Linked DNA regions of Drosophila melanogaster. The protein of the gene in region 3 interacts with the protein of the main gene of each other region in a pairwise test. Each region holds a gene or a part of one and is shown on either strand. Other genes may lie near its edges. The genes, in order: RanBP3, CG4250 and CG5011.

The links.
Region 1: the proteins of CG5011 (region 3) and RanBP3 interact in a two-hybrid assay, tested with the Drosophila melanogaster proteins (one large-scale study listed by BioGRID).
Region 2: the proteins of CG5011 (region 3) and CG4250 interact in a two-hybrid assay, tested with the Drosophila melanogaster proteins (one large-scale study listed by BioGRID).

What each region holds. Positions count from the first base shown.
Region 1 is NT_033777.3:23,750,756-23,754,517, forward strand, and holds RanBP3 (Ran binding protein 3), read right to left. Parts: upstream 2,080-3,762; 5' UTR 1,965-2,079; coding exon 1,949-1,964; intron 1,821-1,948; coding exon 487-1,820; 3' UTR 182-486; downstream 1-181. Other genes in the region: Rpt5 (regulatory particle triple-A ATPase 5), read left to right, coding at 2,259-2,468, 2,533-2,953, 3,011-3,666.
Region 2 is NT_033778.4:22,662,031-22,665,098, reverse strand, and holds CG4250 (uncharacterized protein), read right to left. Parts: upstream 1,408-3,068; 5' UTR 1,355-1,407; coding exon 1,186-1,354; intron 1,111-1,185; coding exon 978-1,110; intron 925-977; coding exon 822-924; 3' UTR 625-821; downstream 1-624.
Region 3 is NT_033779.5:1,198,572-1,201,749, reverse strand, and holds CG5011 (uncharacterized protein), read right to left. Parts: upstream 1,080-3,178; 5' UTR 891-1,079; coding exon 648-890; 3' UTR 530-647; downstream 1-529. Other genes in the region: CG43349 (uncharacterized protein), read right to left, coding at 1,298-1,510; CG43348 (uncharacterized protein), read right to left, coding at 2,172-2,300; CG5139 (uncharacterized protein), read left to right, coding at 2,612-3,151.

The DNA.
Region 1 (3,762 bases), on a different chromosome or scaffold from region 3:
CACTTAGATTGTACTTTTCGTCGTAACGCTATTTTTTTCTACCAATACATAACTGAATACTGAGTGATGATCCGCTGGAATCCACACCAGATGCCAGTCAGTGGAGCTATGACCAGGACTAGTGCAAGCGCTGAACTTGTAAAAATTATTTCCTAAGCGAAAAGTAGTACATAGGGTTTGTATAGTGATTAAATTAAAACTTTTAATTAGAGCGTGTACGATCGATATCGATATCTTAATTTCGGTTTTCATTTTTAACAAAAAATTATAAACACAAAGCGTAATGGATAAATGTCTTTTGTCGACGCTGCTCACGGGTTTACAAATCAGCACTTCATTTATTTTATTTTTAATAATAATAATTATTAATAAATTATTATAATTAATTTATAATAATTCACGGCGCGCTTTATTAATTAGTGTTTGTTGTGAGTGTTTTATTTCTCCATGTATGAATCGTATAAAAAGAACAAGAGCGAGCGGCGGTTAATTCTGATCGGTTGACTCCTTGGCCTCGGCCTCAGCATCCTCGTCGCCCTCCTCAACGGGCGGCACAGGGACATCGGCGCTGCTATCGGGCTGGACGATCACCTTCTTGGGACTCGGGCCGTAGCTGTCTGCCTCTGCTGAAATGGCACCAGACGGTCCGGGAGCAGCATCCTCATCCTCGTCGTCGTGAGTCGTCGACTCCGGTTGCAAGCTAGCCGCTGCCTCAGAGGCGACGCCGTTTTTCGCTTCCTCTACGGAACACTCCTCGGGATGTGAGACCTTGCGCTTGGCAATCCGTTCGCTGAGCGCCTTGTGTAGCTGGGCAATGTCCGCCGGTCGGCCCATGGCCAGGAAGATCTTGACAACGCCAGAGTTGTCGATGGCCGTTAGTCGTAGGGACTTTTGGCTGGCTCGCTCCGCCACCATGGCGGCCCAGACTTTGGTGTTGAGAAGCAGGCGCAGATTGCCAGAAGTGCGGAACACCACGCGCGAGTCGCCCCTTAAGTCCTTGGCGTCGTTTAAGCGCAGACTGCCGCGACCACGCTCCTCCCAGTTGCTGTTAAGAAAGGCGAATAGCTTGCAGCTCACGTCGATAATGTTGATCTCGTCCTCCTCGCCGGTGAAGGTCTCGACCTCCTCGTATTTGCGTTTCTGAGCGCGGCTCTCCTCATACTCCCGGGCCACATCCGTCAGGCTCTTGGCCTCGGCGGACTCCTTGTTGTTGCTGCTGCTGCTGCAAATGGATGAGGAGGCAGCGGCCTCGCTGGTCTCTGTGGTCTGGGCAGCGTTCTGAATGACGCTTGAGAAGAGCAATGGCGCCGAGGACGACGTAGCAGCGGTGGAGGAGGAGGCAGCCTCCTGGGCTGATACCGAGCTGGCTGCCGTATCTGCATCCGGCTCAGCGGTGACCTGTTCAGCATTGGGGGCCACCACACGTTCATGCACATTCTGGCCGAAGACGAACCCGCTGGACTGAACATTTGGCATGTTGTTCTTGGCTGCTGCAAACATGCTGGAGCGCTCAATGCCATTGCTACGCAGCTTGGTCAGCGGATCCGGCCGCTCGTCGACATCGTCGTCCTCCTTGTCGCCAGTGGACTCGGCTGCCGCAGATCCGGTGGCCACCACCTCCTCGTCATCGTCGTCGTCCTTGGACTCGCGCAGAAACGGATTATTCAGCAGGGCGCTGTCTTCACCTGCACTTGGGGATGTGGAACTATTGTTGGAGCCGCTGCTGTTTGCCAAGACTGCTGGGCGCAGGACAGCACCGCCCAGGCGAGAAGCCTTCAAGGTGAAGCCACCTCGGAAACAGTTAGTTTCGACTGACGCTTCTGGAAACAAGGGGGAAAAAACAAGACTCGTTTGTCAGTTTGTTGCGAACTCTTCAAGGGCACAAGATTCGCGATATTTGGCAACTTTAAGTTATAGCAAGCATTACAGCTTGTTTTGCTACGCTTACCATTATTTTCAGACATTGCAAACTAGTCTACTTGCAATTTTAAAATATAAATTGCCAAATCTTTTACAGAATAGAGCGTTCTGTGTAAAGCCTGCCGTATTGTTATCGCTGTGTTATCGCTGTCACTATCGATAAGCGCCGGCGATGGCGCTCTGTTGTCAACACTGACTTTTTCAGTGTTGCTTACTTGCCGCTGAAAAACAAGAAATTTACAAGTCATCGACAGAGTGTTTGCCCAAAAAGATCGGCAATAATAGCATTTTAACAAAGAATTACATTCAGCAACGGCTAATCAACAATCGTATTAGACATGGCTCAGACTCTGGAGGATAAGTCAATCTGGGAGGACGGGGAGGAGTCCCTGGGCGAGGAGGTGATGCGTATGTCCACCGATGAAATTGTGAGCAGGACTCGCCTGATGGACAACGAGATCAAGATCATGAAGAGCGAAGTGATACGCATAACGCACGAGATTCAGGCGCAAAATGAGAAGATCAAGGACAACACCGAAAAGATCAAGGTAGGGATGACAATGAAACGCCACCCTGCCAAATAGCCTCATTTGTTAAGTACTTCCCCATTAGGTCAACAAGACACTGCCCTACCTGGTGTCCAATGTAATAGAGCTGCTGGATGTGGATCCACAGGAGGAGGAGGACGACGGCTCCGTCACCGTTCTGGACAACCAGCGAAAGGGCAAGTGCGCCGTCATCAAAACATCCACTCGACAGGCGTATTTCCTGCCCGTCATCGGCCTGGTTGATGCCGAGAAACTGAAGCCAGGTGATCTGGTCGGAGTCAACAAAGACTCCTATTTGATCCTGGAAACCCTGCCGGCAGAGTATGATGCCCGCGTAAAAGCCATGGAAGTGGACGAGCGACCTACAGAGCAGTACTCCGACATTGGAGGTTTGGACAAGCAGATACAGGAGCTCATCGAGGCAGTGGTGCTGCCCATGACGCACAAGGAGAAGTTCAAAAACCTTGGCATTCACCCACCCAAAGGTGGGTATCTCACTCGAACAAATGTCACACAACCATATTAATCCTTGCCATTTACAGGTGTCCTTTTGTACGGCCCCCCTGGAACTGGCAAAACATTGCTGGCCCGTGCCTGCGCCGCTCAGACAAAGTCCACCTTCCTCAAGCTGGCAGGTCCCCAGTTGGTGCAAATGTTCATCGGTGATGGTGCCAAGCTGGTGCGCGATGCCTTCGCCTTGGCCAAGGAGAAGGCGCCTGCCATTATCTTCATTGACGAGTTGGACGCCATTGGCACCAAGCGTTTCGATTCGGAGAAGGCCGGTGACCGTGAGGTCCAGCGAACTATGTTGGAGCTTCTTAATCAGCTCGATGGCTTCAGTTCCACTGCAGATATTAAGGTGATTGCGGCCACCAATCGCGTAGACATTCTGGATCCTGCTCTGCTGCGCTCTGGTCGTCTGGATCGTAAGATCGAGTTCCCACATCCCAACGAGGAAGCCCGTGCCCGTATTATGCAGATTCACTCGCGTAAAATGAACGTTAGCAATGATGTGAATTTCGAGGAATTGTCCCGATCCACGGATGACTTCAACGGCGCCCAGTGCAAAGCCGTCTGTGTGGAAGCTGGTATGATCGCACTGCGTCGCTCCGCCAATTCGGTTACGCACGAAGACTTCATGGACGCCATCATGGAAGTGCAGGCGAAGAAGAAGGCTAATCTTAACTACTACGCTTAGACTAAAAATTTGCAGTTTAACTTCACATTGTCAGCTCCCATTAAAATAAACCATGGAAATGTAAAATTTTTCAGTTTCGATCTGAGTTGCCCCTTG
Region 2 (3,068 bases), on a different chromosome or scaffold from region 3:
CGTCTAGAGCGCAGCTCAAGTTCAATTTACTGAACTCGCATTTCATTTCAATTTGCCTGAACTGAAATGATAATACTGACTGCTGGAATCAGCGAAGCTGATGAATCTCGGCAAATATGAAATCCGCTTGCTTGAATAATAACTTACTTATATAAACATGTTAATAAAATTGGACATCGAATTTGCATCATTTCAGGTATTAATCTGGATACTAGTTGCCAACATTTTTTAAATTATATGAAATTAACTAAATATTGTTGCCCATCTTTTTTATTGGTATTATTGCAGAAAAAGTTGTAATCAAATAAACGGATAAGCGATCAAATTACCTTGTTTCTTCCCTATTCCTTTGTTTAGTGTTTAATTCGAAGAGGGGAAATATAAAATCTAGGTATTAAATTACAAACCTTTTTCCACTGTTCATTGACATAAGTTGTTCAATATACATATATATATATATATATATCCAGTTTCAAGAAGAGGCAGCGATTGTTAGATCAACAATGTGAATGAAGTTATATAAAGGGCGTAGGATGCAGAACCTCAGATAAAAATATCTATAATATATTCCCGCCTCAGAAATTTCCGGGATTTATTAATATTATATACGAAAGTGTTAACATTCATATATCGCCAACAATTTGTGTGATTAGAAATTTATTTTGAAAAGTAAACCAATGCGAAAATTACATACATATATTCAATTGATTTGAACCAGAGTTGTATTTCGTGAATATTCGTGCCAAATCTGATCCCATCAATAGGTGTGGAGATACAAAGTGGGATCTATCCCTGTAATATTTGGTGTTGAGATAGCACTTCTAGTTCTTGTAGGTGCCCACGTAGGCTCCACAGCTGGTGCAGGTGTGTTTGGCCGACTGGCAGGAGTCGGTGCAGTACGGAATGCAGCAGCAGCAAATGCCCCTGAAAATGGCCATTAGTCCTGCGGGCAGGTGGAGCAAACGGGCTGCACTTACCCCAGCATGCAGATGAGTAGGGCCAACAGGTGGGTCTTGGTGCTGGGCTCGAACTCCACCTTCGTCTCCCTGCGGACGCCGCAGCTCGGACAAGTGGCAACGGATGGACATTGGCCCAGGACATTGGGTGGAGCTGAAAGAGGCACGATTGGATTTCGTATAATATGCGATATTATATTTTATGTTTGAATTGCACAGAAGAATTGACCATTATTTCCGATTGATTCATAGTTCTCTGTATTCTCACCCTGCAATATCACTCCCTGTCCCTGATGGAGCTGAGGATAGACCTGCTGCGGTGCGCTATCATAACTGGGCGGTGCCTGGAAACCCGGAGCCTGAGGCTGCATATTCTCGTATTGAAAGTTCTTCTCCATTCTAATTATTCCGACCGATGTGTGCTACGCGTTTGAATTGCCGACAGCGACTGAAACCGCAGAGAGCTCCTCCAACATTGCTCGGCGAACTTTCGAGTTGCGGCGCGATGCGAATTCTATATAGCCCTACTATGTCGGATGGCTTGCTAAGCGATTTCCGTTAAATATTATGTGGCTATCAGAATAAGGGCTTTTACATGAGTAAGTGTTCTTTTTTTTTTGCAGGATGAAAAGCTTTAGTAAGAAATTGCTCAGCCATGATGAATTAATTAATATCAAAACTTACCAATAAAACAGAAATGTTAGCACTTAGTAGGGTATTCCATTGTCAGGTAAACAAACCAGTAGCTTTTACCCTTCCGAAATGGTCCTTCCAGCTATGCTATTAGCACGTATATAACAACAATTTGCATATTTATTGAAAACATAAGAAATACTCAACTCTGCTCAAGAATTGCGTTGTCTCTAAAACAAATCAACCCCCAGGTAAAATCCACTCGTTTCTTCCTTGAACCCTTTTATTGGTGTGCTGAAGAATACATATGCCGGCACTACAATGATTTGTTTTGTTATCAAAATAGTGCGTAGTAATAAATGTGAGAGAGTTAAAAATAGATCAAGTGGGGATAAGTAATGGGGGCTGCATTTCGGCACGGCTGCTGGCTGCAGTCCACGACAAAAAAAAAAAAACAACTTCCGGCGGAAGTTGCTCAGCGCTCGTAGGTGCCAATGTAGGCGTTGCAAGATGGACAGTGGTGGTCGGAGTTCCGGGCGCATTGAGTGCAGTACAGGCAGCAAGCAGGGCCAAAGGCTGCACGAAAGAGATCACTCAATGAGAATGCACCCAGAATGTTAAGAAATCAATATCGAACATGGCTTACAAGGTAAGGCACATAATCAATGCTATCAGGTGAGTCTTGGTGGTGGCTTTCGGCTCCACACGAGTGGTAACCTGTTGACGGCAACTGGGGCAGACCACGATGCACGGTTCCGGGCCAACGGAAGTGGACATTTCGATGGCGGAGCTGCAGAAAGAAAGCACAGGAAACTCTAATAACTCTCATATTGATTGCAGCGCAGACCTTGAAAACTTGAATACGTCGCGTGCCGCTGGTGCATGAGCATTAAATTGGCTGGTTAATGGGGATTTTAATTGCACACCCGCCATGCAAAACAAGCTGTAATCCGCCTTATCTCCCGTCGATGGCACCACGGTGCTGCGCAATCCCTCCTGCCGCCGTGAGGTCATCCTCGTGGGCCACGGAATCTCTTGTGCCATGTGGCAAGCTTCGTGCCGACGCCGTCATCGCACAACCGCGTGTGTCTGAGCCCCGCTCAACCCCGATTCCATCCATCATCTTTGCTCGTCGTTTGGTGCAACTTGCTTGCTCGGTCTGGTCCTATCCAAAATCAACACAATCTATTTATGTATGTTCTCACTAGCGCAAACCACCCAGCACAGTATCCTTATTTAACAGCGGGTGTGTCCGTCGCCAGTGATTAACATTCCCCCCGAAATCCTACTGTCGTCCTGTATGTCTTTGCTGAGTTCTCCCCCAAGCAAAAGTAAATTTTTTGGGGAGCGGCAAAGCAGCGGTAAACATCTAAACAACCAGATATTACCCAATTAGACCTGACTATAATAGTCCGTTGCTCATGTTTGACCCAATCCTAGGCTTGCATAATATATCTCTCCCGTCATACTTACAATCTG
Region 3 (3,178 bases):
TAGGTTCTGACTAATGTAAGCAAATGCGTATTTCCTATCGATAAGATTGCACAGCTTTATCTAGCGTTGAGTTGAAGTAACTCATTGATAAGGTTTACAACAGGTTTATATGCATGATTACTAATAGTTCAGCGTTCAAAATAAAAACAAAAATATTATTCTTGAACAAATGGAATGGAAAAGAGCCAATAAATCAAAGATATGCTCAGTTAAGAATTCATGACATTCGACTAATACGATAAGCCCACGTATTAATAAAGAATCCAGTGATTGATTGACTGATTGATTGATTGTTTTCCTAGTGAAATATTAGTAATGACGTGTTACCTCAAGAATTTGATAGTACCCGAAAATAAGCTATCATAACGCACCTAAAGAATGACGACTTTTTCAATGGATTATCTTTATGACGGTCCTATGGGAATTCCAAAAAACCGTCCTTATCTTATTAGGCGCATATATCATCATACTCGAAATGGGATTGTTTGTTGGCATAGAAGCTACAAGTAATAAAACTTGAATCACACATAGGCGTGACTAACTAAAGTTAGTTTATATATTTAAAAGCAGCATATTTTTTAATCACACACAAATGTACATTTGTTGATATCACACTATATTAACCGATCTAGATTACAGTTCAGTTCTTATCGCGGATGCATTGGAGGTCCTGGGGCCACGTATCCTGGACCATATGGATACGGACCATGCGGCGGCGGAGGATTGTAGCCGGAGCTGTTTCCGTGAGGAGGTTCGTGGTAAATCGGATGCACTGGCGTGTGGAACGGGGGCTGTGGTTCATGGTGCGGAGGTCCATGGTGCGGTGGTCCGTGGGGCGGTGGCCCATGAGGCGGCGGGTTGTGGTGGTGGTGCGGTGGTGGAGGAGGCATCTTTGCTTGGCGGGCTTCTGTTGTACACTAAACTGGCTCACTCCTGCCAGACCTTTTATACAAAAGTAACATAGTTTCAGTAGGCTGTAATCTTATCTGCATTCTAGTGGAGAGGGACTTTCTTTTATATATAATTGTCTACCTTATCTGCTGGCTTTTTGATACTTAATCATACTTAATCAATTCTTGCTTCAATATTCTTCTAATTGCTTATTAGAATCAGTATCTTTATAATGGTGTTATAAAATTAAACAATTTCTAAAATAAAAACATTTTGCTCTTGGTGAAACTAACTAGAAGTTAGTGAAGATATTTTAATGTTAGTTTGTGGCTTAATCACAGTTAACGATTAAGTTTTTCCATATCAGTTTATAACGTTAAATTCGGCTTATATTGTATTATAGTTCTCATCGAGGATGCATTGGAGGACCGTGGTGTGGTGGTCCATGATGATGGTGGTCGTGGTGCGGAGGTCCATGGTGCGGCGGTCCGTGGTGTGGTGGCCCGTGATGCGGTGGCCCGTGGTGTGGAGGACCATGGTGCGGTGGCCCATGGTGGGGAGGTCCATGGTGTGGTGGCCCATGATGATGGTGGTGGTCGTGGTGCGGTGGAGGTGGCATCTTGACTTTTCTGACTTTAGTTGAGTACTAAGCTAAAGCCTATCCTGTCAAACCATTTATAGGAAAATGATTCGAATACGTTGTAATCTTATCTAAATTTCAGATAAGACGAGCCCAGTTCGGTTGATAAGTAAGTTTCGGGTTTTCCCACAACAACACTTCGCTCAATAAAAACAAATGTATGACATTCGAAATTAGTAATAACAAACAAGCGAATTGTTTACTGATATGTCTATATGTGACTTAAAGAATAAGTTAATGACGACTTTGCATGTAGTTCATAAGTACAACAATATGGAGATGTTATAATATTTTATTTTTGTAAGCAACAATCAGCAACAATCAGCAACAAATTCTTAAGCTTAGTACGTTGCACTTAGGACGTGTATTATAATTTAAAAAGCATTTAGATCTTCAAATCATATGTATGCTTTGTTCAAATTAATGGAAGCTTAGAATGCATTAAGCAGTATCACCAATTCAAGATCATAAACATTGAAGATATAGAAAAGAGTAGAGCTATGTATTTTGTACAGGCTTTTATTTCTTTGGTTTGAAGAGTTTTTAAGACTTTCTATTAGAAACTAAGTTCCCTAAAAAGTATCCATCTTGTTTTGTTCTGTATAAAATTGAATCTTATTTATAGTCCTTGTCCATGGGCCTAGTGATGTCCGTGATGGGGCTTCGGATCTCCGTGGTGAGGGGGATGCGGTCCTGGTTGGTGATCCCCAGGATGCGCAGGACCCTTCGGTGGGTGCGGTTGGTGGGGCTGGTGCGGTGGTGGTGGCATGTTTCCAAAGCGATTTCCGTTCTGAACTAAAGTATTACCCCGATTTCCACGCTATATATAGTGACGAAAGACTGCTGGAGGCATTGGTTTTCCCATTAAAACATTTTATCAGCCTGTTTTGCGATAAGGTGAGTACTTGGTGGTCATATCGGAATTTCCCTATGACAACGCAACGAGAAAATCACACATCTAGCTTCCCTGATTTTTCAATCGAACAGGATTTGTATATTCGTATGATCTTTTGAAGTGGGAGGAGTGTGCATTCTTGTATTCAAATTTTTTATTGTATAAAATTTTCTCGTGAACAAATTATGGAAAAGAATCTGTGGAATACGCTGCAGGAAGTCGAGCAAGTCGAGGTTGCTTTTAAGCAGACCTTGAGAAACATTACCGATATCCAGAACCGATACAAAACGGTTTCGGCCTTGAAGAGCAAGGCCTCCAGGCGCCAGGAATCCTTCGAGGCGGAGATCCAAGGTGCCATTACAGCACCCAATCCTGCCAAGAAAAGGAGGGTGGTCAAGAAGAGCAAGATCAATATCTTGAAACAGAGGAGTCTGCTACCAATGCCAGTACCCAATCTCAGATCGGAAACTATCCTGCAGGTGGAGGAGCCTTTTGTGTGTCTCGAAACGAATTGCGTCTACGAAATACACAAGACAACCACTCACCTGATGGCGCGGAAACCATATGGAGCTCTCATCCGGCGACTGTATCGGTCAGCCAGGCGGAAGAGGATGTACGACCAGGAGCAGGAACAGGATCAGGAACAGGTTGAGGAACAGGATCTGTATCCAGACATGGAATGTTACCACTGCTGCTGCTCAGCGTGTTGCATAGAGTGCAGATAAATTTGTTCGTGATTGTATATAGCATAT